Linked DNA regions of Mytilus edulis. The protein of the gene in region 1 purifies or fractionates together with the protein of each later gene. This does not show direct contact. Links are inferred from orthologs where the notes say so. Each region holds a gene or a part of one and is shown in the gene's direction. Other genes may lie near its edges. The genes, in order: syntaxin-8-like and vesicle-associated membrane protein 4-like.

Evidence for each region.
Region 2: the proteins of syntaxin-8-like (region 1) and vesicle-associated membrane protein 4-like purify together in Homo sapiens (co-immunoprecipitation; 3 studies listed by BioGRID and IntAct, counting the BioPlex papers as one, with this or other methods). This does not show direct contact. The link is inferred for Mytilus edulis from reciprocal best matches to the Homo sapiens genes STX8 and VAMP4.

What each region holds. Positions count from the first base shown.
Region 1 is NC_092352.1:44,208,445-44,225,242, forward strand, and holds the start of syntaxin-8-like, read left to right. Parts: upstream 1-7,797; 5' UTR 7,798-7,880; coding exon 7,881-7,897; intron 7,898-10,918; coding exon 10,919-11,018; intron 11,019-12,092; coding exon 12,093-12,187; intron 12,188-12,788; coding exon 12,789-12,890; intron 12,891-13,282; coding exon 13,283-13,407; intron 13,408-13,997; coding exon 13,998-14,090; intron 14,091-15,813; coding exon 15,814-15,915; intron 15,916-16,798. Other genes in the region: beta-1,3-N-acetylglucosaminyltransferase radical fringe-like, read right to left, coding at 1-23. UniProt on the Homo sapiens protein: Vesicle trafficking protein that functions in the early secretory pathway, possibly by mediating retrograde transport from cis-Golgi membranes to the ER.
Region 2 is NC_092345.1:21,930,730-21,947,532, forward strand, and holds the start of vesicle-associated membrane protein 4-like, read left to right. Parts: upstream 1-6,120; 5' UTR 6,121-6,246; coding exon 6,247-6,312; intron 6,313-8,785; coding exon 8,786-8,832; intron 8,833-9,483; coding exon 9,484-9,534; intron 9,535-11,824; coding exon 11,825-11,925; intron 11,926-14,617; coding exon 14,618-14,697; intron 14,698-15,275; coding exon 15,276-15,327; intron 15,328-16,645; coding exon of another isoform or gene 16,646-16,677; exon of another isoform or gene 16,678-16,803. UniProt on the Homo sapiens protein: Involved in the pathway that functions to remove an inhibitor (probably synaptotagmin-4) of calcium-triggered exocytosis during the maturation of secretory granules.

The sequences.
Region 1 (16,798 bases):
CATTCCGACACATTACAATTCATGCAAGCAACCTGTACAATCGCATGCTCAGTAAACTTTCCCACGGTTGTAAACTTTGATTTACCTGGATCTTTGAAAAAAGTAGGTCAACGTATGAGCGATGTGTAAAAAGGTTAAAAAATATTTTAGAATCCAGTAGGGCAACAGTGTCAAGGTCAGATAGATGAGAAAAGGAAAGAAGTTAAATTGAAAATGTAAAAGATGTGTTCTCTCAACGTAAACTTGTTTTATTAAAAGACATGAACATGTAATGTCGATTTATTAGACTCTGTCACCTTTTTACTAACAAAAGAAAAAGTTTGATATTTTATGACAATATTTTTTTAATGAAAAATCATGAGTTGTTTGTATATACATGTATGTTGAGGCCAAGGAAGAGGCCACAACTCTGACATGAACACAGGAAGATTACATTTATCTATAAGTCTCCGCTTAGACTGAGAAATGGACCGATTTTAACACCGAGTGGTAGATTTATCTGAGCTAACATAACTTCTTTTATTTTTTTCAATTGATTCCTTGTACATAATAAATGAAACTTTTTACCCCAAATCCCTGACCTGAAATGAAACTTTAATCTTTTTATACAGATGTTCAGCTTATATTAGGCCTCCAGTATCACAACTTTTCATATATTGGATATTGAAAAATACTTAGTTATAGTTTCTTATTTGTTTTTAACCAAAAAGAGACCTATATGTATCAGGATTTTGTTATTCATAGATTTTCCAAAAAATATGATGCAGTTATAACTACGGTTTAATCGCATCTATAGAAAGTACCAAATTATATTTTGAATTGGGACTATATCACAGTATAATACTATAGTCTCGGTTTTAGATAGTCTAGTGAATACAACAACTGAAAATACAATATTATCAGTCCCGAAGGCAGTGCTTCGGTACCTTCACGATTCTAAACACACACTTACTTAATTTTCCGTTTATAAATTTAGAATTTATCAAGAGAATTTTTTGATTGTTCATATGTGCCGACTATTAATAAAAACATACTTCTTTACCTACTTACAAAGTTATAACGTGCTATTTTTTTTTATCATATATATATATGTTTCTTTTTAATTTCGCATTCTTATCATATATATCACGAAGCTTAAAATTGGTTCTTACTGGGTACTCCCGTCTGACCTGATCAGGAAATTGAATTAAGAAGACTTTGCTTAAAATTCAAATATCTTTTTAATAACTCGCTTCGTGGTGTTCAAACATGAATAGAATTGACAACCAACCTGAATGACCACAAGAAAAAAACACCTAAATACAACAAGAGTGTGTGCTGTCAATCAATAACACCTAATTTTATTGTACGATTTTTTTTTATGACATTCTTAATGAAAAGTAAAAAACAATTGTTCCAATGAATTTTTTTTTTATTACTTCTAATTCTAAAATAATTATACATCCTCCCTATATAACAATAAAAATTATTGCCGAAACGGCTTTAGAAAGTATGGCCGGTACGACGCCGAGTTTGGCCGAAACGACTGATTACGGCCGTACGGCAGTTTGGCCGGAACGACTGAGGTCGAGCGGCAATGTGGCCGAAACGACTGATGCCGTGCGGCAGTTTGCCCGAAAAGACTAAGGCCGTACGCCATTTTGGCCGAAACTACTAAGGCCGTACGGCAGTTTGGCCGATACGTCTGAGGACGGTGCGGCAGTTTGGCCGAAACGACTACGACCGTACGATAGTTGGGCCAATACGTATGAGGACGTTACGACTGAGAATGGTACGGCATGTACAACATGTAGAGAGCCTCTGTGTAGTGGTTAGTCCATCGGACTACTAACACAAAGGTTCCTGCATGGTTCGAATCCCGTTCCGGGATGAAAATTTCAGGGACTGAATTTTCGACTATCCATTGACACCTTTTGCGAGTATGGTCTTGAGGAAACGATGATAGTCTGTCGAAAGGGGACGATAAATGGCTGATACGTGTTAAGAGAGAGCCATATCTCTTGGACGTAAAAGGCACCCTTGTAGATTTCGTAAAAAGAGCAGGCTAATGCCGCTACAAGGCAGCACTCGCACCCGCAAAGTGGAAAGGGATTAATATAAGTTGCAAAACTTGTTTCCCAATCCACTATAAATAAATATGTTTCAACTAAACTAACGGTACGGCAGTGTGTCCGATACGACAAGGCGACTGCGGACGGTACGGCACGGTGGCCGATAAGTCCTCTCGAGTAAGTCCTCCATCGGGTGATCCTCAGATCATAGTCGGCTTATTAGTTAATCCAATTACATGACAGTAAATGGATATCAATAAAAGGAGGTGTCTGGTATGCGTCAACGAAACAGCAACCCAAACGTCAAAAATATCCAAAGTACATCTAAAGGTCTTTAGGTTCAACTAGACAAAGACAGGTGTTCACACAATATGTCCAACCCCAAGTTGTGCAGTAGACGACTCAAAACGTATTGACTACTGCACATAATTGGAGCTGACCGTTACATTATGTGACAATCTGGTTAATATTCAGATCTATCAGAATTCGCTTGCCCCGTCGCAATTATAAGAGGATATTGAAAACAGATCCATATTTTAGATAGATGAGATTGACAACAGATTTTTTTTGCGTTTGGAGTACTCGGTTTTCAACAAAAATCTGCACCAGTCATTAATCATCTTTATTCAAATGGAAGACTGGAAAACTTAAAGAAAGAAAGAAAGAAAGAAAGAAAGAAAGAAAGAAAGAAAGAAAGAAAGAAAGAAAGAAAGAAAGAAAGAAAGAAAGAAAGAAAGAAAGGAGCCGTTTACAGCTGAGTACGAGTGGATTTTGCTCGTTGTTGAAGGCCACACGGCCTTAACCTTATAGTTATATTTATTAAAAATCAGCCTACCATGCAGTATTGGTCACTGTTAAGTAAGTAAGCAAATGTTTGCACCTGTCCTAAGTCAGAAATCTGATGTACAGTAGTTGTCGTTTGTTTATGTAATTTATATGTGTTTCTCGTTTCTCGTTTATATATAGATTAGACCGTTGGTTTTCCCGTTTGAATGGTTTTACACTAGTAATTTTGGGGCCCTTTATAGCTTTTTGTTCGGTGTGAGCCAAGGCTCCGTGTTGAAGGCCGTACATTGACCTATAATGGTTTACTTTTATAAATTGTAATGGAGAGTTGTCTCATTGGCACTCACACCACATCTTCCTATATATCTAAGTAAGTAAGTAAAACTTTATATTTTGATTCGGTATATTGACACACATTACAAACATAAGCTCTAATGACTGAGCTTTTCACAGAATATGTATATAGATGCATGTCTCATAGACAATCATATCACATATCCTTGTTTTATACTGCATGGTACTGTTTCCATTGTTTTAAAGCATCTTAGTGAGGCTTGTATAGGGTATATTGGGATACGGGATATTTGCTATTTTAATTTTAGGAATATGGGATATTTGTCCTAAAAGTAAATGGGATATGGGATATTGATGCATTTATAAGGATATTGAATTTTTAACATGAAAAAAAATAAGTGGATTTAAAAGTTAAGTACAGAAATATTTACATCTCACTTGATAAAATTGCCCAAAAAAGTTTAATATTAAAGGTCATTTTAGTGCTTTGTTGATTTTAATTGAGTTAATGGTCGTTTCATTTAAAAGTCATCCAAACCCAAGCGAAAAGTATTGATCTATTTTCGATATTTATATGCTCATATGTACTAATAATTTTAAAAGCATTTGTTTTGCTTTCCATACTTCGTTCCTTATTGTTGATTTTCCTTTTTTGGATGGTGATGTTCCTTTGGCACTATCTTACAGTGTTTGTATATCACAACACCTCCGCTATGCCCGTGTCTGTTGTAACGTTTTGGATTTTAATGAACGAAATCTATGTATTACTGGTAAATAATATTAAGTCAGGGATTTCGTTACCACAAATCACTTAAAATCTTTACTAAATTCTAGATTTGGTTTTGAAGTTTGGTTCTACCTGTAGAAAATTTATTTCAAACGGGATAGCACATCCTCATTTTTACGGAGAGATGTTGTTTACCGTGCCGTTGGATGCTGGATGTGTAATGATTGATAATTTACTCTCAGATGCATTACTTTTTATTAGTTGTAATTGGCTTTGAACTAGCTGTCAGTAACTGCAAGTACTCTCAGATCTGTACTTAGTGTCTTTTTGTTGATGGGATGTACAAGTACTCGGTCACGTCCACTCTCTGTTTTTGTTAGATGTATTTCTGTTTATATCCATCTGATGAGTTAAGCCCTTTACAACTGATTTGTATAGTTCGTTCTTATGTTGTACTGTTACACCACTGTCCCAGGTTAAGGGAAGGGTTGGGATCCCGCTAACATGTTTAACCTCGTCACATTCTGTATGTATGTGCCTGTCCAAAGTCAAGAGTCTTTAATTCAGTGGTTGTCGTTTGTTGCTGTGTTACATATTTTTTTTTTATACATAAATTAGGCCGTTAGTTTTCTCGTTTGAATTGTTCTACATTTGTCATTTCAGGTCTTTTTATAGCTAACTATGAGGTATGAGCTTTGCTCATTGTTGAAGGTCGTACGGTGATCTATAGATGTTAATTTCTGTGTCACATGGTCTCTTGTGAAGAGTTGTCTCATTGGCAATCATACCACATCTTTTTTTTTTATATTATATGCTCATATGCATTGATAATTTTCTTGAAATAATCATAGATTTTTGTTAGATGTAGCCATCTGATGAGTTAAGCCTTATTGTTGTCAATGTTTTTATTTGTTTTGATGCTTTATATGATTACAGGATATTTTCTAGTGTTTTGCCTCTTATTTTTTACGTGACGTGGCGAGGATCTTCAGAGATCTCCACGTTTCACAGATTGCTCTGATGTGCAACGGCTGTTTTGCCAGACAAGCTGGGGCCGAGGGACGTCAGAGCACGTCCCATATCAAAAAGTAGATATTTTGCTGTATAAACTATGTACTAGTAAATAAAGAATAATTACTATAATAATCAATGTAAATTAATATATTTTCTTCTATTACTGGTGTTGTGAGGAAGGAAATTTAAAAAAAAGTAACAAACATATTGGGATCTATGTAATTCATAAAGTTCAAGATCACAGAGTCAAATGTTGTTTATTTCTTTGCAAAACAAGGGCTGTGCAAATTTTGCCTGCTGTAAAAATATTGCAACAGTTAAGTGTAATGTAGGTAAATTAGCAGAAAGCTTTCTTGTGTTAAATTTTGAGTTATTGAACTTGCATGGTAAATATCCAGTTTTTGATATGGACGTGCTCTGACGTCCCACAGTCTCAGCTTGTCTGGCAAAACAGCCGTTGGATGTCAAAGCAAGAGACAGGGTTCAACTTGAGTCCTTCTGTTCTTTCCAACATAGGTTAACGTGTAGGATGAAGTTTCTTATCAATGAAAGAAGAATGCTATCAAAATTATATTTTACAGTCATATGCATCACGGTTTGAACAATTAAAAAAAAGTCTGAAATTAGACCCCTTACACTAAATTTATCGTTTAACCTCACATAAAAAGAGATTGTTATACAAGGCTCTAAGATGGAACACTTCATCTTTTGGACACATACATTGTATATTCTTATTTAATACTAGAAGTATGCACTAAATTTCCTTTAACACAGTTTGTTTTCCCAGAGTCAAAATTTTTGACGTTGTGATGATGAGGAAAAAAATGGGCTTGGGAATGAATTTATAATGAATTTTTGGGATATTTCAAAATAGTTTTAGGGATATGGGATATTTGTAAAAAATATTTATTGGGATATTAGGGGTAAACATTATAGGGATACGGGATATTGGGATAAAAACTTAATGGGATACGGGATATTGATACCCCCCCTAAACAAGCCTCCTTAGTGTATGGCCTAACTCGGAGAATAGATCCGTCTAATCAATTTCTTAAGGATTGTTTGCCATAACCGAATCCACATCAAACCAGGCACATTTCTCATCAAACAAGTAGGCTAATAGATTACTAATACACTAGTCTTTGATGTCTTAAAAAATCAGTCTGGTGTATATATTATGGGTCTCACTAATTAGCGACAACAAGCGTCAACAAGCGACAACAAGCGTCAACAAGCGACAAGAAGCGACAACAAATGAAACATTTGTGAGAAAGAAAGAGATTGTGAAGTTTATATTAGTATATTGGTAGATGAAGAAATTTAACATTTGTGAAAAAGAAAGAGATTGAGCTTCTTTTTTTTTATTTTTAAATATGAAGAATATGTATAAGATAATGTATGAATCTGTTTTCATCAAAGTCAAAGTATGAATAAACGAATGGAGATATATATGGAGCGGGCATAATGGAATATAATATTTTGATTCATTTGCTTAATACTATGCTCTAAGTGTACTCTTGTTATTTCAATTCGATGCTTTATTTGTAAAACTCTCAGCCACGCTTTGCCATCTGTATTATTTAAGCGTGTTTCCAGAGCCCACGACGAGGACGTGGTTCTACCTTGGGGTCCATATACAGATCACGTACTTTTGCGGGAAAAAAAACCCCAAAAAAGGTCAACTTTCCTTTGAAGGATTTATTGAAACAAAAACATGAAATATTATTTCCTTTCTAACAGTATAATTCATTGTTCTTGATAGGAACAACATTAGATGTGGCTTCCCCTTAAGGTAATAACAGTACACACAATGTGGAACATCAAATGAGATTAACGAGTCGCGTGTCCCCTGTTTTATTGCTACAATAACATCCAATTAACACCTTCAACTTTGTACACACGTCAGACTATACAATTACACGCTAGACTATACAATCATTGTAAATAGTGAACACCTGTTGAAAACTCAAGATTGTCATTAATTTCCTTTCATCTTCAATCAATATGCATAAACATGATAAATATCGTTTAATGAGGCAATAAACAAATAAAAAGATGAAAACATTCACATTTCAATTTTCTTTTCCTCCTGTTTGGTTTCAGTTCTTTGTATTTCACAATTTGTGTCAATATTTTCAGGACAATGATGCACAAGTAATTCATTTTGCGAGCTTAATACATATTGCACGAAAAGAGTTTTAAAATACAAATTATAAGATAAATAATATGTTTTAAAACACAAGAAAAAGTAATCTCATAATACAATAATTAAACGTAATACTGGCTGTTATTCATAATAGATGTAAATAATGTTTCATTTTTTTCTATCAATTTTAACTTTCTTGTCGCTAAAATTATTTTCTTTTGCATATTCTTTTAATATTTATTGCAATAATTAATTTTAATTAAAAAAAATGTTTTCTTGTCGCTAAATAACAGCTAAATAGTTTCTTGTCGCTTGTTGTCGCTAAAATAATTCTTGTTGTCGCTTCTTGTCGCTTGTTGACGCTTGTTGTCGCTAAAATTCTTGTTGTCGCTAATTAGTGAGACCGTATATTATTATTTTATGTTTCTTTAATCACTCTGTAATGTTTATGTCATGTTGTAATAAATGTTATACTCTTAATGGGCCTTTTAATTTGGAAAATAAAAATATTATATTGTATTGTATTGTATTATATAGTCCATTATTTTTTAAACCAGCCAAATAACTTATGTACGGTCTGAGACTGCTATAACACAGAGTTATAGTAGTCTCAGGTACGGTTTTTATCCGCTGATCGATATTACAAATAATAAGAAAAAATTGTTTTGATTTATTCAAGGATTTATATAATAAAATTTATTGTAAATATGTTCTTGGACCAACTTATGTATACATGTATTGGACTAAAATTGTGTTTAGGGTTCAGTTCCCATGTACCTCTTACAGTGACCAACAATTATAGCCTAAATAAAGTCTTACCTTTATTCATTCTAATGTCAATTTGTAAACTTCCGATCACAAGATGGCAAGCGATACTTGGTTAGTAATGTTTAGTATATATATAGCATACAAAAGCTATAGATAAAGGCATGAAACCTACTTAATATCTTTCCTCAATAGTAAAATGATTTGTCGAGATACACATTCAGTAAACGTTGCTTTCATGTAAAAAATAACCAGTGTTTTAAAACAAAAACAAAAAGGGGGAGGGCAGTTTCAAAGCTCCTGCAACCGATAATATTTTTTACATTTATATATTACACTTGAAAACACTTCTTAAATGTAAGTTATATGATTATATAATAGTTGTTCCTGTTCTCTTGTTATAAATCAGATTTTGACACATTTACCATTTTAAGGTTCATGTGGACCCTATGGCTAAAATGGCCGTATTTTCACCTCAAAATTTACTCTGAGTACAGGCAAACCTGTACATCTGGAAAAGTTTTAAGGCATAGCATGCCCTAGATAAATAGAATTCAAATGCATTGTATGATTTAGAAAATTCATAACTTAACTGGATTTTGCCGTACACTTTTTTTCGTCCCTGCAGAAGATGATAAAATGAACAAACAGTTGAGTTTACCTTGATATGGTCCACTCAGGTACACAGTTTAAATAACCAATTATTGTCAGGTATCTATTGTCCATCTCATGTCCATGTCAAGCAATACAGCTCACTTCAATTATTACCTGTGGGGAAGTTCTCAAACCTGTTTCCCAACTTAGTTTATTTTGGCACCTTCTGGAGGAATGAAAAAAAGTGCACGGCAAAATCCTTGTAAGTTTTTATTTTTCTAAAACATAAAACATATTTTAAATTTATTTATCTAGGGCATGCTATGCCTGAATTTTTTTACAGATGCGCAGGTTTGTCTGTACTCAGAGTAAATTTTGAGGTGAAAATACGGTCATTTTAGCCATAGGGTCCACATGAACCTTAAGTAATATGAGGCAGGCATTACCTGTGAATGGGGACGAAGTCTGTATGATTTTTTTTTTTTTAAATCAAACATGTTAAAAAGAGAAATGGAAATACCGTAACGTTTCCGATTTTGGTTCTGTTGTTAAGGATTTTGGTTGTGACGTTATTTAAGTTATGACGTCATATTCAATGTAAACAAAGAAACGCTGTCATCAGGTAATGCAGTGAGGTAATGTTTTTTTTTTTTTATAACAAACAATTTTTAAAAATGAATTAGTATTAAGTTCCTTTCTTAGACTGATAAATATACATTTAATTCAAAGTCTCACATGTCTCATGCAAACAAGAACGGAAATGGAAGTAAATTTCTGCGCAGATCCGGAAATTCAAAATCGCGACAAAAAAAAAAATGGAATAATTTTGAGTTCATTAGTCCACACCAAATTAATTAGTAGTTCTTTGGAAAACCCGCACCTAAATTGCCGAAATTAAAATAAAAAAATAAAAATAAATATCCCACACCTCACCTGCCAACACCAAAAAATAAAAATAAAAATAAAATTCCTGCACGTTGAAAATAAATCCGCATTTTCGACGAACTCGATTCCGGTATAAAAAAAAAATCTTTATCAATTAAGCGTTTGAAAATATACAGTGTTTGTCATTTGTCAAGCATATTTTTGATTCTGAACAAAAAAGTTGCAAAGATGGAAAACATGCTGATTGTTTCTGTGGTGAAACATTCAGACAAAAATAACAACAAGGCATACATATTAAAAAATACGGCAACACAAACAAAATGTCAGACATTCAGGGAACTATATCAAGAAGCCTTAGTTGAAATCTTAGTTATAACATAGGCTTATAAATGGAGGTTATGTAGGTATTTCCATGTTGGTATGTTTTGGTGTAATTATGCCCCACCTACGATAGTAGAGGGGCATTATGTTTTCTGGTCTGTGCGTGCGTTCGTCCGTCTGTCTGTCTGTCTGTCTGTCTGTCTGTCTGTCTGTCTGTTCGTTCGTCCGTCCGTCTGTCCCGCTTCAGGTTAAAGTTTTTGGTCAAGGTAGTTTTTGATGAAGTTGAAGTCCAATCAACTTGAAACTTAGTACACATGTGCCCTATGATATGATCTTTCTAATTTAAATGCCAAATTATAGTTTTTACCCCAATTTTATGGTTCACTGAACATAGAAAAGGATAGTGCAAATTTCAGGTTAAAGTTTTTGGTCAAGGTAGTTTTTGATAAAGTAGAAGTCCAATTAACTTGAAACTTAGTATAAATGTTGCCTTTGATTAGATCATTCTAATTTTAATGCCAAATTAGAGAATTTATTCCAATTTCACGGTCCACTAAACATAGAAAATGATAGTGCGAGTGGGGCATCCGTGTACTGTGGACACATTCTTGTTTATTTTCTGATATTTAATTGTAAAGTAGCACTAGCTAGAACCCCCAGTTTCCACTGTGCTTGGATTGACTGGTTAGTGATCCATATGCATAAACACAAAACACACACCATGCAGTTATGTTACAAGAAGCTAGCTAGCATACTACAGAGGGTGTCTAAGGACCAGAAGGTGCATATACTACAGATGAAAGCAGTGCATATTAAAAGCAGATAGCCATATAAAGTTCATGCATAAAAAAATATGTTCAAAAGTGTATATTTGTGCAGTGTTAATTATACAAACAACAAAACAAAATGAAAAAGAATGCAGAAAGTTGAAATACATATAAAAAGGGAGATAATTTAATTATATCAAATTATGTCCCCTTTCAATTTAGTGAGTTGAAAATTCAGTTGCTTCTTTTAGGTAAAAGATATAAAAATTGAGAGAAAAAAATATCGCTCGCTCCATATTTCTTCAAAATTTGAGGCGAAGAATTTAAAAATATAAATTTAAATTTCGCTCGCTCGCCCCATTTTTTTGGGTTAAAATCTCAAAGAACTATTAATTAATTTGGTGTGGCCTTAGTACAATGAAAAATTCGAGAAATTTTCCTGATTTTTAATTTTTTTTATTGAATTTTCTACTGTAATACATGTAATAGGGGAATTCATCCCCATTTTATTATTTTTACACTTATCAAAAATAATGTTTGAATAATTTGACTGTAATTGATTTTTCAGGTTAAAAGACTATGAAGCCTGTGCTAGTGTTGGTCAAGAACTTATGGTTTTGATCAATGATAGAAATAAAAATGGTCGCACAAGTTCTACATACACAAAGGTAAACAATATGTGTAAAGAAGCTATGGTTAACTTTAGAATCAATGCTTTTGGAAAAAAAGACAAAACATATCAAGGGGACGATAAAAGCTCATAATTTAAAGAAAAATATAGAATAAACACACCATGGTAAAAGAAATACAATCATCAATAAAACACAACATTGGTAACTAAAGATTGAGGAACACTAATCCAACAAAAAAAGGGGGTGCTCAAAAGGGTAAACAGTAATTCGCCGTTTCAGAATCTAAAGAATCATGGGTAATTTCATTGTTCGTACCCCAAAATGAAAATAACGCCATGTCATTGGTTAAATTTCTATTGTTTATGACATTTTTAACCAATCAGGACGTTGTGGTGTACACTTTTGAAAATATTACCCATGATACATTAGATTCTGAAACGGCGAATTAGTTCTCACTCCACATGTAGCACCTGTCATGTTACTCATGTAAGATCAAACCCAGTAATAAGTCTCTGTGATGTCATAGTCAAGCAACATGTACATGTATTGGTGTCTTTTAAACTTTCAAAGGGATGAACCCTTCAATGATTTCCTGTGTGTACTAATGGCTAAGGAAGTCATGATAGGAAATGCAACTTATGGAATGTTGCTACATAGATGAAAGAGTTTGAGCGCTGCTATCATTTTCTTATGTTGTAAATTTTTGTTCTCAACCAACCCTAGATGCCAATCTCTTGATTTGAGTCAAGATGTTGCAGTTTTCATAAAAAATATAATTATTGTTAAAAGGACCATTTGCTGTTTATTGAGTGTTAACCACAAATGAACTGATACATGGATGATAAACAGTTAGTTATAACTAATATAACAGTTTACTTATTTATGTTTTGTAGTTTTCTTAATAAAAAAAAGTTCAAATATAATTTTTGCAAACATACAGTAAAAATCTACGGGAGCATCTCAAGTATTACAGGCATAACCACAGTATTTCCAGAAGAAAAAAAAAATACAATTTAAATAATTAGATTTATGAAAAAAAATAAAAAATATTTCAGCAAAATGCCAAGATATAAATGAATATTTTATTAATTTCTCTTTATCTATCTTTAGCTGTCAGCACAAATTAGAGTTAAATTGAAAACATTCTCAAATGAAGTCAACAAGCTGAGACAGAATTTGATACGAGCATCATCATCATATCATATGTATCCTTTGGTTTATATTATTGAGTGTGTTTCAGTCTACGAGTTATAGCAGTGTGTGTGTTTTTATTAATTCATATCAATTTTATAAATTATATGTCATTTAACCCTGTTTTGGATTTGGAATATACTATTTTTCTTCTTCGACTAACTGACTAATGGGAAATAATAAATGCATGAACTGGAGTGACAAATATTATCGTCTGAATTGTTTTATAATACATGTATGTAAAGATTGCATAAAATGCAATCAAAACCTTGTGGGACCGACTTGATATCTAAATCTTCCAAGGCTTATCACTACCTTTTTGATACACAAGATATAGTGCATTGATCCTGTTACATCCTATCAATGAACATTTCTAGAAACTTATTGATGTAATATATGCTCAGATATTCAACATGTTCAAGGCACAAAATGATGTAACACTTGTCAAGAAAATTACATTACTTTTGCAAGGTGCAGGAATCTTGTATCTATTCTTAAAATACAAATGAAATCTAAATGATGTCATTGTTTTAACAGATACAAAGACCCAAAAACATAATGCCCCTAAGTGGGTCATAAAAATCCTAAATTAGTAGCCTTAACTGTAATTATTAGAACACAGAGAGAAGTTGAACGTAGACAGATGTTAATTGATAATTTAATTACTAAAGAAAAACAGATAAATGAAGCTTTTAAAAATGAAGGTAGTAATTCTAGGTGAGTAACTTGAATTCAATGTTTTAGTTTCATTATAGTTCAAATTGTTTGTTAGTGATTTACTTTTGTATGGCCTGTGATGAAAGTCGCAGAAATTGAGACATGAATGGTTTTATTAAAAGCAGCTACAACTGTTAAGTTTGCTGCAAACCCGGCCACATTAAATTAATAAGCAATTTCAAATGTCAAGTGTTCTGCATAAGAAACTTCTTGTTATAGACCAATGATATTTTATATGAAGTTGCATTACTACCAGAAAACATCAGTTTGAAAGACTTTTTCAAGGCCATGGAGTCAATTTCACAAAAAAAAACTTATGGCTAAGATTGGTTGTACTCTGAATCCATTTGTCAGAGTCATTCAATCTTGTCAGTTCAATTTTTTCATTACAGAAATACGCTGATTGGTACAGATACATTTGGTAATAATGATCCTTGGGGTGTAAAAGATGAACCTGAAGACTTCCAGGGAAGATCTAATACTGAAGTCAGAACACAACAGCAGCAAATTATTCAACGTAAGATCTATTAGTTGATTACACAAAAATCTCAGAGATTGATTTATCTTTCTTCAAACCGTCTCAATAGTCTAATGGCATCATGCTCTTCTCAAGTGAAGGAGGTCTAAGTTTTTTTGAACCCAGATTTATGAAAAAAAATTAAGAAGTGTTACATGTCTTTCTGAGGACTGCAACTTTATGAACAAACACAATAAAAATGTTCTAAAGCTTGCAAATGAAAAATTTAAGATGTTCACATCTTGAGTGCAGAACAATCAAAGCTCACATGCAACAGAAGGAGTTTTTATATATCAGCCATAGTAAAATGTTTACATGAAACACAGATTTGATCCTGATTTGCAGATATCAAAGTTGACATTTAAAACTAACATGCTTTGTATGTAAAATGTTTTAAATACATGTAGTTATATTTTAACACTTTCATACTCATACAAGTTTTTCAGTTTTTACTAAAAAGAAACTAATGTTGTAGAGTGAAAACTACCAAAAGTTATTTATACCAGAATGAATTTGCAATCAAAATATTTTGCATAGTTTCCTTTTGTATGGTTGAAATCTTTAACATAGTATAATTTGGTAATTTTCAGAACAAGACAGAGGTCTAGAATCACTTTCTCATGTTATTACTAGGCAGAAACAAATGGCCATAGATATAGGTGATGAAGTAGACAGTCAGAATGGTAGGTATTATCTCATCTTTTATACTTCTAAAGGAAGAGACTGATTTTAATGAGCCACATCTCCTCTGAAACCATACAAATTCAGAAATATTTGTGATACGATGTATAAATCAAAATGTAGTGTTTGGTACTTCCTAAATTTGTCTTTGAAACAATCTTGTTTTCCACAGAAAACACTTATCCTTGAGAAAATATCCAAATTCAGAGACTGTTAAAGATCCATGTCTTATACACTTTAGAGCATCCTCAGTTGATTCCTGTGTGTAAGGTCACCAGATTTTACATAGCTTATACAGTTATCGAGTGAAAGAGTTAAAAACTACTGAAAATCACACTTTGCCACACTTTTCTTAGGGTATTTGATATATTTATTTTCCAACCTAGATAAATGGGGTTTTGCACATTATGTTCATCATTTTCATCTCTTTAAAGAAATAGAATTGAATGCATTAACCATGTCTAAATTTTCACTGCATCCACCTTATACTGTGTCCACAATCTTTGTTTCAACACTTTCCCAATTGTACCGTGATTTCATGGGCATCTTCTAGTATTTCTAGGTATAAGTAATGATCATAGAGATGCACACTTATTGAAGGGGTATGATTGTATAAAGGGTAAAATTTAGGTCAGGGCTATCCAGATATAAATGGATGGGGGTGTCAACATGCATAAAATTTAAATTGATGATTTCATATAATTGTTAAGGATATCCTCCTAAAATAATCACCACTCATCAAATTTGATTTACAGTGCCTTATGACCCTCTCCATTTGATTAAAGCCTCAATGAAATTGTGGGTATCAGATGGTTTAATTCCATGTGTGCATTCTGTTTACATATTATTCAAAGATTATGAACTTGAATTTCATGATCATAAATAATCCTCACTTCAGTGATTACTTGTATATCTTACCTCCTATACATTTCTAGGAATATGATTGGTTAAAAGCGTCTGCATGGAGACCGTGTATATTTCATATTAGATTTAGTAGGGAGATAGGGCTTATTTCATACACAGTTAGTAGTGGTGTAACGTCCCTTTATATTCCATATTAGGTCAGAAGGGAGGCGGGGCTTATTTCATACACAGTTAGTAGTGGTGTTGCCTCTCTTTATAAAAACAAAACGATACTGAGAAAAAAAACTTAAAGGTTTCAACAGACGAAGAAATTGATGATTAAGATTGAATTAAATTCATAAAACACATTTAAATCTAACAAGTTGTTGTTGTTGGCATCTGTTTTTGTAGGATCAATGGAAGTAGTTTCTTAATGCTAACAGTATTGAAGACTTGCTCATTTTGATAGGTCACTAGTCTAAATTTCACACGTTAAGATAGTCGGTAAGATAAATTTGTTACATAGTGTGCTAGTGATGTAATACAGTATCTATAGGGTCAGTAAATTTCATATGGGGTTTCGAGCTTCACTCTCACCCCATATGAAATTTACTGACACCATATATACCGTATTAGGTCACTAGCACACTATGTAACTAATAATATCATGCCAAGGAGAAATTAAATAGGAGAAAGGGCTTTTTGGCAATCTGTAAAGGAACTTTATAAATATGAAAAAAACAAAAATAGAAATAAATAGTGGAATTGGAAAGGCTTGAAATATAACATTTAGGAACAATAAGCCAAATGAATACCACTGTTACAAAATATGACTCTTTATTATCTGTTGAAATAAATGAGTATTTTTTTTTTGGTTTTCAGTATTAATTGACGACATAGGAGAGCATATGGATAGAACTGGTGAAAGATTAATAAAAGAAACAAGACATATAAAAATTGTAGATCGAAAGTCAAATACTTGTGGTAGGTTGTTAAAAGGGTGATGATCCTAAATTTGGTATCATTTTGTTGAAAGATGTATTTAATAAATTCAGGTAAATTGCAATCTGTAGTGATGAATATACTTTTTTCTGGCTTTGCAAGATTCCTATGTTACATTGTCAATTGCCAAACAAAACTTATTGAAGTATAATCTGTTAACAGTCTGTACTTTCACATTTTCAAACATTCAAATGGATATGAAGTGGCTTTTGCCATTTTGCTAGAGATATTATTAATAGTTGAAGCTTTTTTAATGACCATAAATGTTATTTGGAGTTCTCGTTATCTGTAAGTATCACGTAAGGAAATTTTGGTAAGGTTCATTAGTATTTTATTCATTATAATTAATTTGCAAGATTCCAAACAAATAGTGCAGGTAAAAGTGATAATAAAATTCAAATAACAGAAAAACAAAAAAGAGAAGAGTAATGATTTAAGGGGGCTCACGGGTCTAAATCAAATTTTTTTTTAAATATAGGATTTCCCTTTTTTTTTCAATAAATAAACTTTATCCTATACTTAATGGAAAAATAAAATAAAGATATGGGGTCACCGTTCATTTAATCTCACAATCTGCCTTTGAAAGAAGCATGCATTTTTGTTAAGGTACTTTTTTTCTGTTGAACTAATACATGTAGGACTAGGGGAACAAAAATTAAAATCTAAATGAAAAAAGAACTAAATTACAGAAATCGCTTAAATTTTACAATAGTTTAGTTTTTAAGTACAGTTCATTTGAAAACAATAATAAAAAATTTAGGTCACCGATGAGTTTAAAAAGTTATTTCAATTTGTATGTCAAAAAATGGCATTTTTTTTACCAAAGGGAGATAATTTGGAGCTTTTTCAATATTATAAACATTTT
Region 2 (16,803 bases), on another chromosome or scaffold:
ACACGACTGGATACTAGAATATACCAGTATACTTAGATTAAATATGAATTATAATTTCTAGTTTGAAAATCAGATCCAAAGAATCTTTTGACCTTTCCGATTAACTTCAATAGTCATTACTACATTTAAAATTTGAAGTCAATTAAAACTTTTATTATAAGGAGGTTGTATCAATTTTTAGGTTAGTAGATATATACATGTGAATAGACCAGGAGTCTTTGTATTTGTAATTTTTTCCCCTTTGGAAGAAAACATTTTTAGTAAAATATAAAAAGGGGTATTTAAGGTTGATTGGTATCAAAATTAATTTATATTTTCACCCAGAATATTAAGCAGTTCATTATGGAGTATCTATCACTTCATATACATCAACAATTATGTGCCAAATATATGCAAAACTTACAAAAACATTTTTAGTAGCTATATGTAGATAAAATTTTGTATAGATATTTTTAATCATGATCTTTACCATTTAATATTGTATTTATATATACCGGTAGACTATTTTTATCCATCAGTTTTATATGAATTAGTGTTTTATAGCTGTTATTGTGTGCTGTATTGTTGTGAGTAACTCTCTTCAAATTTATTTTGTTATTAGAAAACAGCCTTTCTGATGTCGTTTCTGATTGGTAATTTAAAGAAATTTTATAATACATGTATCTGGAAAAAAAACATCATAGATTATTGACTTTTTAATTGTCGAAAATCAATTGAATTAAACTTCAAAGTAGATTTGATTATTTTGAATTTCTAGTGGTTAACTTTCAAGACTTTTGGTAAAAAAAACTAAGATTATTTAACATCTTTTTAGCTGTGATTTTGTCATTCAAATTTTTGTACATAAGGTTTAAAACAGCATACACTAGATGAATTTTGATTAGTTATTTGTAACTCGATGATGTCAGTGTAAGTTTGTCAGCATGTATTTAGTACATTTGTTGTGTCATGTGACATGATATCCCACCTTCTTATCATCGTTGTACTTTTCTTTAAGATAGTCCCATTTGTAAAAATGTTCTATGACAGCTGTACATTTGATATTATTAAAAAAAAATTACACCATTCTGTGTTTTATATCTATGTCTGCCTTTACCTATGCATTTAAATTTATCAATGAAAACACTTTTTTTTTTTTTATATCTTTTTATGCCCCACCTACAATAGTAGAGAGGTATTATGTTTTCTGGTCTGTTTGTCCATCTGTATGTTTGTTCCTTCGTCCGTCTGTCCTTCTGTCTGTCCTGCTTCAGGTTAAAGCTTTTGGTCAAGGTAGTTTTGATGAAGATGGAAGTCCAATCAACTTGAAACTTAGTACACATGTTTCCTATGATATAATCTTTCTTATTTAAATGCCAAATTAGATTTTTTTAACCCAATTTCACGGTCCGATGAACATAGAAAATGATAGTGCAAGTGGAGCATGTTCTATGGACACATTCTTGTTTTAATTTGTCTTGTAATAAACAGAAGTGGTAAATGGTTTTGTATGAACTAAAATTATTTGGTAATATTTTGGTATGGATGTGTTGTCTACCAATAGACTGTATTTACCTTGCTTATACTGATTACAAAATAATTCTTGTTAGTAGAAAAATAGCGCAATCTAGTTCATCATGAATATTCTAAACTATGATTTTCTTTGATATAAATACATCAACAAAGTTGGAAAACCTAAATGAAATCTATATCAAAAGTTAATATCAGCAAGGTCTTCGAGGAGTGAGATAATGAGTGTTTATAACCTATTTCTATGCCCTTGACCGTCTGTATGTACGTACGTATGTCCAAAAATTGGTTTCTGTTCTCTAACTTGAGTTTGCCTCAACCAAATATTATGAAACTTATACACAATGCTAATAACCTCAAAACACAGATCAAGTATCAATTTTGGTGGCGTCACTTTCTCCGTTCTAGAGTTCTGCCCCTTTCTTTATAAATGGAAAAATTGCTTAATTTTTGGAAAGATTGGAACTTGTTCTAAATCTTTCCTTAGGCACTGGCCTTCCTAACAACACAACAGGTTAGCTACTATTACTGCATGTATTCACTCTGAAATATAGTTCCCTATAGTTCTCATGTATTTGCACATAATACACATATAAACTGTGAAAAATGGGTATATTTTTGGAGCAGTTCATTCAATAATGTATGTAATTAAGGTGTGTTGATGTGCAGGCTTGTTTTAAGCATTTTGATTAGGTAATTGAGTATTGATACAATACTAGTATGATTGACAACTGTCATTATCACCAAACAATCAGGGACAAGGTGAACCGTAAATTACAATGCCCCACCTAAACTGTCAATCAAATTGACCACATTACATCAGTGTTACAAAATTGTATAGGCCCAATAAACATCTCAATACACAAATGTATATATTAAATGTTTGATATATAAGGATGATAGATTTATTTATTGCCTATTACTTTTGATCTACATTACATAAAGTGATTCTGTAAATTATGTCTGAAAGATAAATGATTAATTAAGGATTAATTAAGGATTAACACGATCTTTAAAAAAAAATGAAATATAAATATAAATATGAATATATAAAAGGTATTCAAGTTAGGCCTTTAATTTACTTGATAAATTTCCAATAATCATCTGTAATAAATCAACAATTTAGGTTAGTTCACTTTTTTTTTTATCAGAAATTGGCTTGATGAACAGTTTTAAAATTTTAAAACTTTTATTTATAACAAACCATTTTTTAGCTCACCTGGCCCGAAGGGCCAAGTGAGCTTTTCCCATCACTTTGCGTCCGGCGTCCGTCGTCCTGCGTCCGTCGTCGTTAACTTTTACAAAAATCTTCTCCTCTGAAACTACTGGGCCAAATCAAACCAAACTTGGCCACAATCATCATTGGGGTATCTAGTTTAAAAAATGTGTGGCGTGACCCGGTCAACCAACCAAGATGGCCACCACGGCTAAAAATAGAACATAGGGGTAAAATGCAGTTTTTGGCTTATAACTCAAAAACCAAAGCATTTAGAGCAAATCTGACATGGGGTAAAAATGTTTATCAGGTCAAGATCTATCTGCCCTGAAATTTTCAGATGAATCGGTCAATCGGTTGTTGGGTTGCTGCCCCTGAATTGGTAATTTTGAAGAAATTTTGCTGTTTTTGGTTATTATCTTGAATATTATTATAGTTAAAGATAAACTGTAAACAGCAATAATGTTCAGCAAAGTAAGATCTACAAATAAGTCAACATGACCAAAATGGTCAGTTGACCCGTTTAGGAGTTATTGCCCTTTATAGTCAATTTTTAACCATTTTTCGTAAATTAAAGTAATCTTTTACAAAAATCTTCTCCTCTGAAACTACTTGGCCAAATTAATCCAAACTTGGCCACAATCATCTTTGGGGTATCTAGTTTAAAAAATGTGTGGCGTGACCTGGTCAACCTACCAAGATGGCCGCCACCGCTAAAAATAGAACATAGGGGTAAAATGCAGTTTTTGGCTTATAACTCAAAAACCAAAGCATTTTGAGGAAATCTGACTGGGGATAAAAATGTTTATCAGGTCAAGAACTATCTGCCCTGAAATTTTCAGATGAATCGGTCAATCGGTTGTTGGGTTGCTGCCCCTGATTTGGTAATTTTGAAGAAATTTTTCTGTTTTTGGTTATTATCTTGAATATTATTATAGTTAGAGATAAACTGTAAACAGCAATAATGTTCAGCAAAGTAAGATCTACAAATAAGTCATCATGACCTAAATGGTCAATTGACCCCTTAAGGAGTTATTGCCCTTTATAGTCAATTTTTAACAATTTTCATTAATTTGGTAAATTTATGTAAATTTTTACCAAATAAAGTTCTCTGTTACTAATGGGCAAAGTTCATGATAGATATAATTGTAAGAAGCAAAATCGTTCAGTAAAGTAAGAACTTCAAACACATCACCATCACCAAAATACAATTTTGTCATGAATCCATTTGTGTCCTTTGTTTAATATGCACATAGACCAAGGTGAGCGACACAGGCTCTTTAGAGCCTCTAGTTATTAATTTATTCCCCATCAATCATTATACATGTCTATTTTAGTCATTTGAATTTTTATAAGAAGTGGATATATATTTTTGCTATCAAGAAAAATCTGCATTTCAATAAAATAAGTTTTTTAATTTGTTTACTTTGAAAAACTACATTTTCAATGCCCTGTGCTGAATAAATACTTTATAAATTGATCAAAAGGCACTCTACAACTTTTAATCTTTTAAAAATGTCATATAACCTATGCGTCAACTTACAAAATGCCCCAAAATGAAATTATTAGATTATATTTGTTGACACTTTAAATTTCAGTTGTTGGTCCTTAAAACATGTAAAAAACAGGCAACATTATTTGGATAAGATATTAACTGCAGTTTCAATAAAATTGTGCAAATTTAGAGACCCATATTATTTTATTTGAGCTCATTTTATCTTCATACTGGAAAAGCACTTTTATTCCTGCTAGAACCCTGCTGTTAATGCAATTTTCAGCAATACTGTTTTATTAATGTTCTTTTGTCCCCACCATACCTTTATATGAAATTGTTCAAACTACTCTTCCAATCTTTCCACAGGTGTTATCTAGCACTTTGATTAGTTTCCATTCTCTAACTTAAGTTTGCCTCGACCAAATGTTATGAAACTTATGCACAATGCTCATTACCACAAAACTCAGATCAAGTTTGAATTTTTGTAGAGTCAGTTTAACCGTTCTAGAGTGATGCCCCTTTATGAATTAAAAATTTGCTTAATTTTTAGTTTCCGTTCTCTATTAAATTAAGGTTTGCCTTAACCAAATGTTATGAAACTTATACACAATGCTTATTACCACAAAACGCAGATCAAGTTAGAATTTGGTAGCATCACTCAAATGGTTCAAGAGTTTTGCTCCTTTAAAAGTGGAAAATTGCAAAATTTTGAGTTTCCGTTCTCGAACTTTAAGTTTGCCTCAACCAAATATTATCAAACTTGTACACAAATAAGTTGGGTCACTATAACCATTATTGAATTATGCCCTTTATAAATGGAAAAAAATGCAAAATGTTTAGTTTCTGTTCTCTAACAAGTTGCCTCAAGCAAATGTTATGAAACTTGTACACAATGCTTATAACCACATAAACCTAAGTTTGCCTCAGCAAAACATTATGAAACCTATACACACTACTTATTACCACAAAACTCAGATCAAGTGCAATATGGGTCACTTTTATTGTTCCTGATTTATATCCCTTTATAATGTTGTATGCAAGCTGGGGCATTTATTAAAGAAGTTAAGCTACTGGGAAATTGATATATGGAAAATTGCAGTGAAAACCATTGCTTTTAGGATATTTAATTAAAAAAAATTAGGTTACCTCCTCCCCCCAAAAAAAGATAACTAAAATAATTGGGCGGTTTACCAGTCTAGCATGAACATCATGCCACAAAATGAACTCCAGTATAGAAGGCAATATTATATTGGGATAGGAAATGTGATTTATCTTATTTTCAAGATGGCAGAACTGGCTATTCTATATAATATACAATGAACATTGTATCACACAACAGTATTATACAAAGTGCACATCATACCACAAAATGAACATTATATTACAGAGTAAACATCATACAACAAAGTGAACATCATGTCACAAAATGAACATACAAAGTGAACATCATGCCATAAAATGAACATTGTTTCACTTAATAAACATGTCACTAAATGAAGATCATGTCACAAAATGAATATTACATCACAAAATAAACATTTAATCTCAAAATGAACATCATACAACAAAATGAATGCAATGCCACAAAATGAACATTCAAAGTGAACATAACACAAAATGAACATTAAATAAAAAATGACCATATATATCACAAAATGAACAATATATCACAAAATGAACATCATTTCACAAATGAACATAATGCCTCCAAAATGAACATTTAAAAATAAAAAATAAACACTATACTATATACTATCCCATAGCGAGTGTGTCTTAACCCTTTGATTTTACAGACAAACAATTATAGTATTTGTCTCGATAAATCTGATCGGTGATGGGCGTGATGATGATGAGCCAGATTTTGCCGTACGCCGGATATACTGATTGTTACAAGTAAGTGTAGCCTCATTATTCACACGTTTCCGGTTTGATCACAACAAAACTGACATCTGACATGTATTTCGAAAAACCTCTGTAAATCACCACAGGACTCTGTCATTTGATAAAAAGTCAACAATTTTATAAAATGCCACCAAAGTTCGTCAGACAACATGACAATATGGATTCTAACCGAGCCAGAAGCGCTGAAACGGTATTGTACATATAGCATCATCCAAGTCCAAAATGACTTTTTTTTTATGTCTGTTGTCATCTATCAGAAGAAAATAAAGCACTTTTCACTGTTTAAAACATTTTGAGTGTTGCACTTCGCCCTTCAACATTAGAAAACAATCAATCATGCATAAGACGGTCATCAAAATAACAATGTGTGACAGATCAAATGCAAGAAACCAATGTCAGGCAATGAGCACATGCACATTGTTTGTTTATATTTTTGCATAAATCCTTGTCTTGCTTTTTTTAGATCACTTTTATGTGTACAGTTCTTGCCAGGTTGTCTAATCACCTTCAAAAATGAGCTAAAAAACATCAAACCATTCAATAGAAAAAAATTAAGGCCTAATTTATAACAAAACCATTGATCATGTTGATGAAAAAAAACCAAATATTACAGACAAGAACCAATGAAAACCACTGAACTGCAGGGTCCTGACTTGGGACAAGCACATACATTTGTCAATAATGTGGCAGGTTTATTTATGTACATTGTAAATAATCTTTAACATATGCTGTTTGGCAACAAGGGTTATGGTTATTTTTCGAAAAAAATAATTCTGATACCCAATATGAAATGTATGATGAAAAATAATTATCTGGCCAAGCAGATGACAAAAAAAGTATTCTGAATCCCCCATACCTTACAGTATTAAAAATTGAAAAAAATTATTCGATTGATAGCTTGGAAAAGCTAGAAAAATAATTTTGAGCTTTGTAGATAAAAAAAAAATAACACCTCCTCTCCCCACCAACCTGAAGTTAAATGGTTGCTTATTTAGTCCTTAGTATGGGGTTTTGTGGACTTTTTAAAGTTAACTTTGCACTTAGATCTTATTTAAGGAATTTCCAATGATGTAGCCATAAAAATATCATTTAAAGCTTAACATCTAAGTATAATGGCCACCTGTCACACACTAATGATTTAATCAATAATTTCTCCACCTGACTCCAATCTTACCAGGTTTACATTGAACATCTAGTTCTATATACATATGTATATGTTTCTTCTCTATCTGAGTAAATGTCTAAAAATAAAAATCATCTAAGAATTTTAAGATGATTGATTGCTGGTTGCTTTATGTACAGTAGCAAATATTTCATGCTTTTCAAGAAGAGGAGAGGAAGGATTTTAAGATTGTAGACTTATGATTTAGTAAGACAGAATCTGAAATTGATAAAAAATGTGCCAGTCTATTTAAGTCAGTTTGGGAGCACCTCATCAAATAAGGAAGCCTTTTAAACAGATAACAGCCATACAGCATGAACAAAGACTTATATATTTTTTGTATTTACCACCAATTAAGTTACTGAACTAGTGACTTACAAATTTTTCCAATTGTGTGAAATTTTTTTCCAATTGTATGACATATGTTCAAGAATCTTTCATTTCTGTGTTCTTTAATTTTTAAGGTAGTTTTTCTCTATTAGTTATCTTTCTTAATTAGCACCCTCTGTTTCTCTAGATCTATATTATTTATGTTTTTTGACAATTTTTCTGTAGATTTGGTCCATTATTCTCTATTCTGTAAACTCCATCCAGAACCTCATGTGTAGATAATTATATATTGGTTGTGGAAACAACATGACAAACACATTGCTTATAGATAATACACATGATACAGAAAGCAAAAAAAGAAAGTTGAAAATTGTCATAGCACTATTTACCAGTCAATTCTGCGAACAAAATAATGTAAAATTGTCGCCCAGCACTGAAATTAATTTAGTGAGAAAAAAAATCAAGGTGTAATGAAGTAAAATGATACATTTCTAGTATAACCTACTGTGGATTCAGTAATTTTCATGGCTGTAGTAAAATTTGCATTTTCATTGATATTTGATTCAATGTTTAGCCAAAGTCTACATACAGACCTATATAAAATTTGAACTTCGTAGGACTTCAAATTCCATTGTTTACTTAAACCCAAAAAATCAACAAAATTAATAAATAAAAGACAATATTTATTATCACAAACACATTTACATTAACTGGTTATGGCATACAGTATTGAGACAATAAACTAAATTAATATCCTATCAATAAAAATGAATCCACTGTATATTAAGGGGGGGGGGGGGTGTCTCATCACGATTCACAAGTTGATTTTTTTGTCAATCACGATTCACAGAAAATAAATTTCCATGATCACGGATCAAGAAAATATTAAAAAAAAAATGTGTAGAAAATCGCATCACGATAGCGAAAGTGTGCCGATCACGAAGAAGGAAAATAACCCATCAGACCCCTCACCAATTAGTAACCTGTGACAAAATTCTTACATATTTCAGCCTTATTAGACATATATATGGTTGAGTTACCTGATAATCCAACAGCTTGGTTTGTTGTCTTGTGTTTCTTCAAAGCAAGTCAGTCCTCATTTGGACCACACTTTTACTTTACTTCTACACAACATGTATATGTGTAATATATACCATTATTTATTTTGCAGAGAGCACTTCTTGATGGAAATTCAGATGAAGAAGATTTCTTCTTGAAGTGAGTTTTTTCCTGTAGCATTTACATGATGAGTAGCAATAGCGTAAAGTATAAAATATATTGCATAGCATTGCAATCTCTTCTGGGTTCCTTTTGCTAGTTTAACCCCTATTGCATCAAAGGTATAACCTCATCTTGTTAATAAAAACAAATGAGCAATTGTTGCTTATTATAGAATTACTGTAGTCCTATAGCATGTAAAGTAAGAAGTAAAAATAAACAAGCTTAGTTTAAAGTATTTGATAATTTATTTTCTTTATGTATCTCACTGGTAAATTCTAATGTCTCAAAATATTGTTATACATGCATGTATGTGCATTTTCATTCTGGGAAAATATAGAGAAAAAAATGTGTTTCCTAAATAATCATAGATTTTTTTTTTTAAATTATAATAAAATCTTGTTTATTAACACTTAATATGATTAATGTTATGAAGAACCAGTTCAAAATTATCACTTTATATACCATTCTTTAAAATTTGTAGGATATCATGTAGATTTGACTTTTACATAGCAAATATATTACAACTGCTTATTATAGTGTTTTGAGTAATTATGTATTTGAGGTTTTGCTATTGTGCTAATAGGTAAGATTTGTCATGCATACATATGCTGTGTATTTATTCTTACAAATGTTTATATTTATTTGTAGAGGTCCAAATGTCAAACCCGGAAACATAAGGAGTGATCCAAAGATAAACAGGTAACTATAAAAATCAAGGAATGGTCCAAAGATTATTATTTATTCGTCCTACCGATGAAGTCAAAGGAGACTTTAAGTTTGCACTCTGTCTGTCTGCCTGTTCCATGAATTATTTTTCCTCACATTTTTCTTAGGAACTACATTAGAAGAATTTCAGATATTTTGTTTCAGGGTTTATATGAGTCAGCTATACCTTGTGATGCATTTTCACTCAACAACTTCCTGTTTACTGAAATATTTTGGCAGGGGTATCATAAGTGAGCTGTAGATCACAGTTTCACTTGTTGTTTTTGTGTAATTTTCAACCATACCACATCTTCTTGTTCTCATATAAGTATTACCATTTATATAGGCAATATAGGAAAGGTATACTGACATAAGAAGTCTCTAAACACATTAACTCCAAATGGAGCTTTCGTTAGTAGAAGCCATATTAACTATGTGTATCAGTGAGAGAAATGTAAAAGCATAAAAATATAGTATATATACCAATACACATAATTAACAGCGCCTGGTGATGTTTCATAGCCTGACCGGTTTCGGTCCAAAAAGGACCTTCATCAGAGGCAGAATGGTGGATTAATGTTTGCACCCTATTTATATAGATATGGTAACCGGCGGTTGAGATAACCGGCAGTTGAGATTAAACCGGCGGTTGAGATTTAACCAGCGGTTGAGTTAACCAGCGTTTGAGATTTAACCGGCGGTTGAGATTAAACCGGCGGTTGAGTTAACCAGCGGTTGAGATTTTACTGGCGGTTCAGAGTTAACCGGCGGATCAAAGTTATCCAGTGGATAAATATGTATCTGGTTGATGTCTAAACAGGTTAAATTATCCTTTCAGTGAAAAATCCTCGTGGGGTTTCCATGGTTACAGTTATCTATATTTAGCTAATGTATACGTTACAGTAAACTTTTTGACATGTTACAGTAAACATTTATTTTGACATTATACGGTAATGTCACCTAATGATATAACCATACTTGGGCTTTAGCATTGGGTAAAGGGTGTTTTAATAATTTAAGAAGTACATGGTAATCATTTAGTCTTGATCTTTGGCTTATGATACACCTAAATATCAAGTCTTGGAATAGTATTTCATGGTAGTTATGTGATCTTAATATTTGGCTTATGATACACCTAAATATCAAGTCTTGAAATTGTACTTCCTAGTAGTCATGCAGTCTTGATCTCAGGCTTATGATACACCTGAATATCAAGTCATGAAATAGTAATTCATGGTTGTCATGCAGTCTTGATCTTTGGCTTATGATACACCTAAATATCAAGTCTAATAATAGTATTTCATGGTAGTCATGCAGTCTTGACGTTTTAGCTTGTGATACACCAAAACATCAAGTCAAAAACCCCCCTTAAACCAAATTTTGTGACTACCATGAAATACTATTATTAGACTTGATATTTAGGTGTATCATAAGCCAAAGATCAAGACTGCATGACAACCATGAATTACTATTTCATGACTTGATATTCAGGTGTATCATAAGCCTGAGATCAAGACTGCATGACTACTAGGAAGTACAATTTCAAGACTTGATATTTAGGTGTATCATAAGCCAAATATCAAGATCACATAACTACCATGAAATACTATTCCAAGACTTGATATTTAGGTGTATCATAAGCCAAAGATCAAGACTAAATGATTACCATGTACTTCTTAAATTATTAAAACACCCTTTACCCAATGCTAAAGCCCAAGTATGGTTATATCATTAGGTGACATTACGGTATAATGTCAAAATAAATGTTTACTGTAACATGTCAAAAAGTTTACTGTAACGTATACATTAGCTAAATATAGATAACTGTAACCATGGAAACCCCACGAGGATTTTTCACTGAAAGGATAATTTAACCTGTTTAGACATCAACCAGATACATATTTATCCACTGGATAACTTTGATCCGCCGGTTAACTCTGAACCGCCAGTAAAATCTCAACCGCTGGTTAACTCAACCGCCGGTTAAATCTCAAACGTTTGTTAACTCAACCGCTGGTTAAATATCAACCGCCGGTTTAATCTCAACCGCCGGTTAACTCAACCGCCGGTTACCATATCTATATAAATAGGGTGCAAACATTAATCCACCATTCTGCCTCTGATGAAGGTCCTTTTTGGACCGAAACCGGTCAGGCTATGAAACATCACCAGGCGCTGTTAATTATGTGTATTGGTATATATACTATATTTTTATGCTATTACCATTTATATACTTTACAGATTTCAGGGCCAAGTAAACTATTACCAATTATATACTTTACAGATTACAGGGCCAAGTAAATGAGGTTATTGATGTGATGCAGAACAATGTTGCTAAAATTGTTGACAGGGGAGACAAACTTGAAGATTTACAGGATAAATCAGGTAAAGGGAGACAAACTTGAAGATTTTCAGTATAAATCAGGTTAATATTTTTGACAGGGGGAGACAATCTTAAAGATTTTCAGGATAAATCAGATAAAATTGTTGACAGGGGAGACAATCTTAAAGATTTTCAGGATAAATCAGGTAAAATTGTTGACACAGGAGACAATCTTGAAGATTTACAGGATAAATCAGGTAAAAATGTTGACAGGGGAGACAATCTTAAAGATTTTCAAGATAAATAAGGTAAAAATTGTTGACAGGGGAGACAATCTTGAAGATTTACAGGATATATCAGGTAAAATTGTTGACAGGGGAGGCAAACTTTATGATTTACAGGTTGAAGGCGGAGACAATCATAAAGATTTTCAGGATAAATCAGGTAAAATTGTTGACAGGGAGGGGAGGCAAACTTTATGATTTACAGGTTGAAGGCGGAGACAATCATAAAGATTTTCAGGATAAATCAGGTAAAATTGTTGACAGAGGAGACAATCTTTAAGATTTACAGGATAAATCAGGTAAAATTGTTGACAGGGGAGACAATCTTAAAGATTTTCAGGATAAATCAGGTACAATTGTTGACAGAGGAGACAATCTTGAAGATTTACAGGATAAATCAGGTAATACTATTTGTTTTACCTTTATTTTGCATAAATTTCAATGTTTGCATAAAAAGATATCTAGCAGAAACAGAGAGGAAGACACATATTAACATTTGATATATTAAAAGTTCCAGGTCTGATTTCGTTTTACACACACAAGCATAATTGCAACCCTCCTGTTTTTAGCAGGAGACTCCCGCTCAAATGGCTTAATTAATTCTGGAAATCTCTAGTTTGCTGGTCTGCTCTGCGCAGGAGTATAAAATCTCTGACTTTCAGATATTTTAACCCAGATTGACCAGTCTGACAACATTTATTATGTTTTTTGTCACCGATGAGCCATGGGTAGGTGTTACCTGTAAATCACAGACCATGTGAAATTGAATGGCTTTACTGGCAAGGTTACTATACTAGTAAACTAGTATTGACCATGCCAGTGGTAAATATCGGTAAATACCGGGAAAAACTGGCAAATACCAGCAAATACGGGTCAATTGAAATTTTGAGTGGTCACTACTATAAAAACCACTCTCTACCTGGTCAATTACTATTAATTAAAGTGTTCAAATCATTTTTAATGGCTTTCATTTCTATTCCTCTTGTAAATTCTTTGAATACACAGTGATTTACATTGATTGATAAGTAAATATTATAATATTATAGTAACAGTACAAAATGTTTTGTCCCCCAGAAGCTTCAAACTTTCCATTTTCAGCATGAAAAAGGATTTTGTCTCACAGTTAAGCAGACAGGAAATATTTCATTATTTATGGGAGTCTTCAAATATCTCTTTTATCACCCATGTATTGTCAACATTTATTGGGGGCTGTTGTTTTAGTAATTAAATTTTCACACCTAGCAATCCAGGTAAAAGGTAAAAAGATGCATGTAACTTCATTTACCTGTAGTTTAATTTACCATTACTTGTAATATCATAATTCATAATAACTTAATTTCAAATAAGTAGTAATGAGTGTTATAAATTAATAAAACATATCAAATTCAGTAATCTATAAAAGCTGACACTTGTTTTTAAGATTAAAGTTTAAATCTATTTGACTTTTTATTATGTTTTTACTTCAATTAAAAGTGAAAACAACCATGAAAATTTCAATTGACCAGTATTTGCCAGGATTGACCACTTGGGGAGTATTGTCCAGGGCGGCAAATACCGGTAAATACCACTGGTAAATACCGGGGGGCTGTATTTACCGCCCAACCTTGGGTGTCAAATATAATACAATTAATGTTACATTAACGTTGTTTGCCTCAAGCCTGGTGTATTTTGAAAACACTTCAAAGAAATTTCGGGTGACTTCCTATGTTTAATCATGTTTTAAGTAAAATAATGTGGATTAATAAAAGAATATAAATTAAATACAAATTGAACAAAGAATCATAAAAGGATTGTTATTTAATGATTTGAATGTCTAAGGACAAATAAAAATTAAATAGATCTATACTTCTTTTCAATGTTTAATTTGAAATTTATAAGAAATGTTTTGAACTATTTGTAAATGTTGACCATGCAAGGCTTGTATAGCCAGTCAAGGTCGTTAAACACTTCCACCATCATCATGTAAATGTTGGCCTGAAGGGACACACCTATCTTTTGATAAAAAGATACTTTAGCTGGAAATGTCAAATGTCCAGTTGAGGCTAGACAACTCTGTCACATGTACACTCAGAGGTATTGAAAAGGGGGGAAAAAAACCTAACAACAACACACCTTGTATAGGATATAACCATGATTGAAGAAATAAAGTATGTTTGGTGTTTTGTAAATAAATAGATAAACAGGTCATATTTTTCACTTGAAAATGCGATTTACACAAAATCTCTCCCTCTTTCAAGGTTTCAGAGGTTGGCAGGTATGCACAAATCACATGATACATCAGAAATATATTCAGTGTGGAGAACAGTATAATTTTAGTAGTTCCTTGGTTTTTGTTAAAATAATATTTCATTGTTAGAGTGATCATGTTGACAAATATATTCAGTCTAACCACATTTACAAAATATAATTTGCATCAATAACAAATATGCCTTCTTTGATAAATCTTAAAAAAAGAATGTTTTATTCACAGAAAATTTAAGTGACCACGCAGATATGTTCAGATCAAGAGCTAAAGGCTTACATAGACAAATGTGGTGGAAAAATTGTAAGGTAAGAATTTTATGTAAGAAGCAGGACATTCATGAAATACAAGTATGACCAATTAATAATAGTTCTATATAAAAAGGATAAGAGGAAATACTAAAAATACTCAATAGCCACAGATACCTGGCTGTTCCAAATTAAAAAAAATGTATAAAATAAATAGCAGTGAGCTACAACTATAAATAACTGTTGATTCAAAATACACTTAGACACAGATTTCCTGTGTAACAGGAGCAACAAATACACACAAATTTACACATAACAACACGGTGAGTTACAATGACATGCCTTATTTGGTATAAAGAATCATTGTAAGCTGTACATAATTATTTGACAAGGGTCACCTGACTTCATTTTCACAACTCTCATATTTATGTCAAGTAATCATGATACATAAGTAAGATCTTGATCTCAAAAATTTTCAACATTTTGTTCCTCATGAATAAATTAGCTGAACATTTCATTTTGTTAAACAATGAATATTTTCTTGATAGTATCTCTTTTCTCGTTTTGTCTTTTACATAGTGTGGTGCAATATGTATGAAAACCAATAAATGTAATGTTGTTTTTTTTTTAAATTTTAGATGAAAATAATAATAGCTGTGGTGATTTTAATTTTACTTGCAGTCATAATCAGTGAGTAGAACATATTCAGGATCATTTCTGAGAATTTTGTATAAATGTATATTTAATTTTGAAATTTAAACAAGATTATATTACTTGGATAATTACATTAGATGTATGTTTCTTTATTATACAGTTATTTTGATTGGCTAACAGCAATTTTACGTCCTTCTGAAACTAACATTCATTACACAATAAAGATGATAGGAGGTCCAACAATAAAGTGCACAGGTTTATTAAAGAAAATATTGATAGAATTGGAATTTCATGATCCTAGCTAAAAAAATGTAATAAGTATTGAATGCTTCTTTTTGTAACTTCATAGGGCTGTAAAAGCGTTGACCATCCGCACTTCATACAAAATGTACTTTGGTCAACACTTTTACACCCCAATGAAGTTACAAAAAGAAGCATTCATTTATAAATTAAGAAGGATAAACCGGCAATACAAATATAAATATTATCCTTGGTTGACTCAAACCCTATATTTATGTTGCATCCCTCCAACTTTTAAGAGTCTGTTCTACATGCGGTCTCTTTATTTAAGCTGGTGAAAAACTATACCTTCAAACTCTAGCATTTTAAACATGGTAAGAAAATTAAATTAATAGTTTATAGGAGTAATGAATTTTATTCCAAGTGCTTCTCTTGACTTTCTCAAGAAAAGCTAAAAAAAAAAGTGAAACTAGCTAAATGACCAAAAGGTACCTGAAAAAAGTAGCCAAATTCATCTAAGATAAACTTTTTGTTTTTTAATGATTTCTAAATTATCAGCAGAGAAATTACAAAGAGCATATTATGAAAAAACATCAATAGAATAAATTGTATACCCAATTGAATTTAGTGGTCTCTTATGAATTGATGTTGCAAACTTCATTGAAGATTTATGAGAGAATGAAATACAATAGGAAAAATCTGAGACACAGTTTTGGAGGTCAAACTGTGTTGAGCAAGAATCTGAAAACATTTGGGATGCTATGAATAACAAAGAAGCTAAATTCATTCAAGTATGGACATCACAATATGGCAACTAATTACATAACAATTAATTATGTAATAATTACGTCATAAATGAAATTATCACAATTTGAAAGATTAATCCTTCTGCTTTCTTTTGGTGCCTCATTTATAAAATTTAAAGAAAGATGAGTGGAACTACATCAGTTTAAAGATGTCTGATTGGGGATGAAAAATCTTTGTATTGTGCTATCACATATAAACATATGCTTCTTCTTACTTTCATGCAGACAGACATAGACCACCAATTTTCATATTTTTTTATTTTTTTGTCATTGATTAAAATTTATGTTTTCTTTGATTTATTTTTCAGTTCCAATCATTGTAAAGAGTTCACAGAACTGACAATTGGTGCAGATATAATAAGATTGGTGATTTTTCAAGACATTTTATTTATTTATTTCATTTTACTGTGATGCCATTGTTAACAAAACCTTTTATGTATATGTATGATTTGTTATTATATGTAAA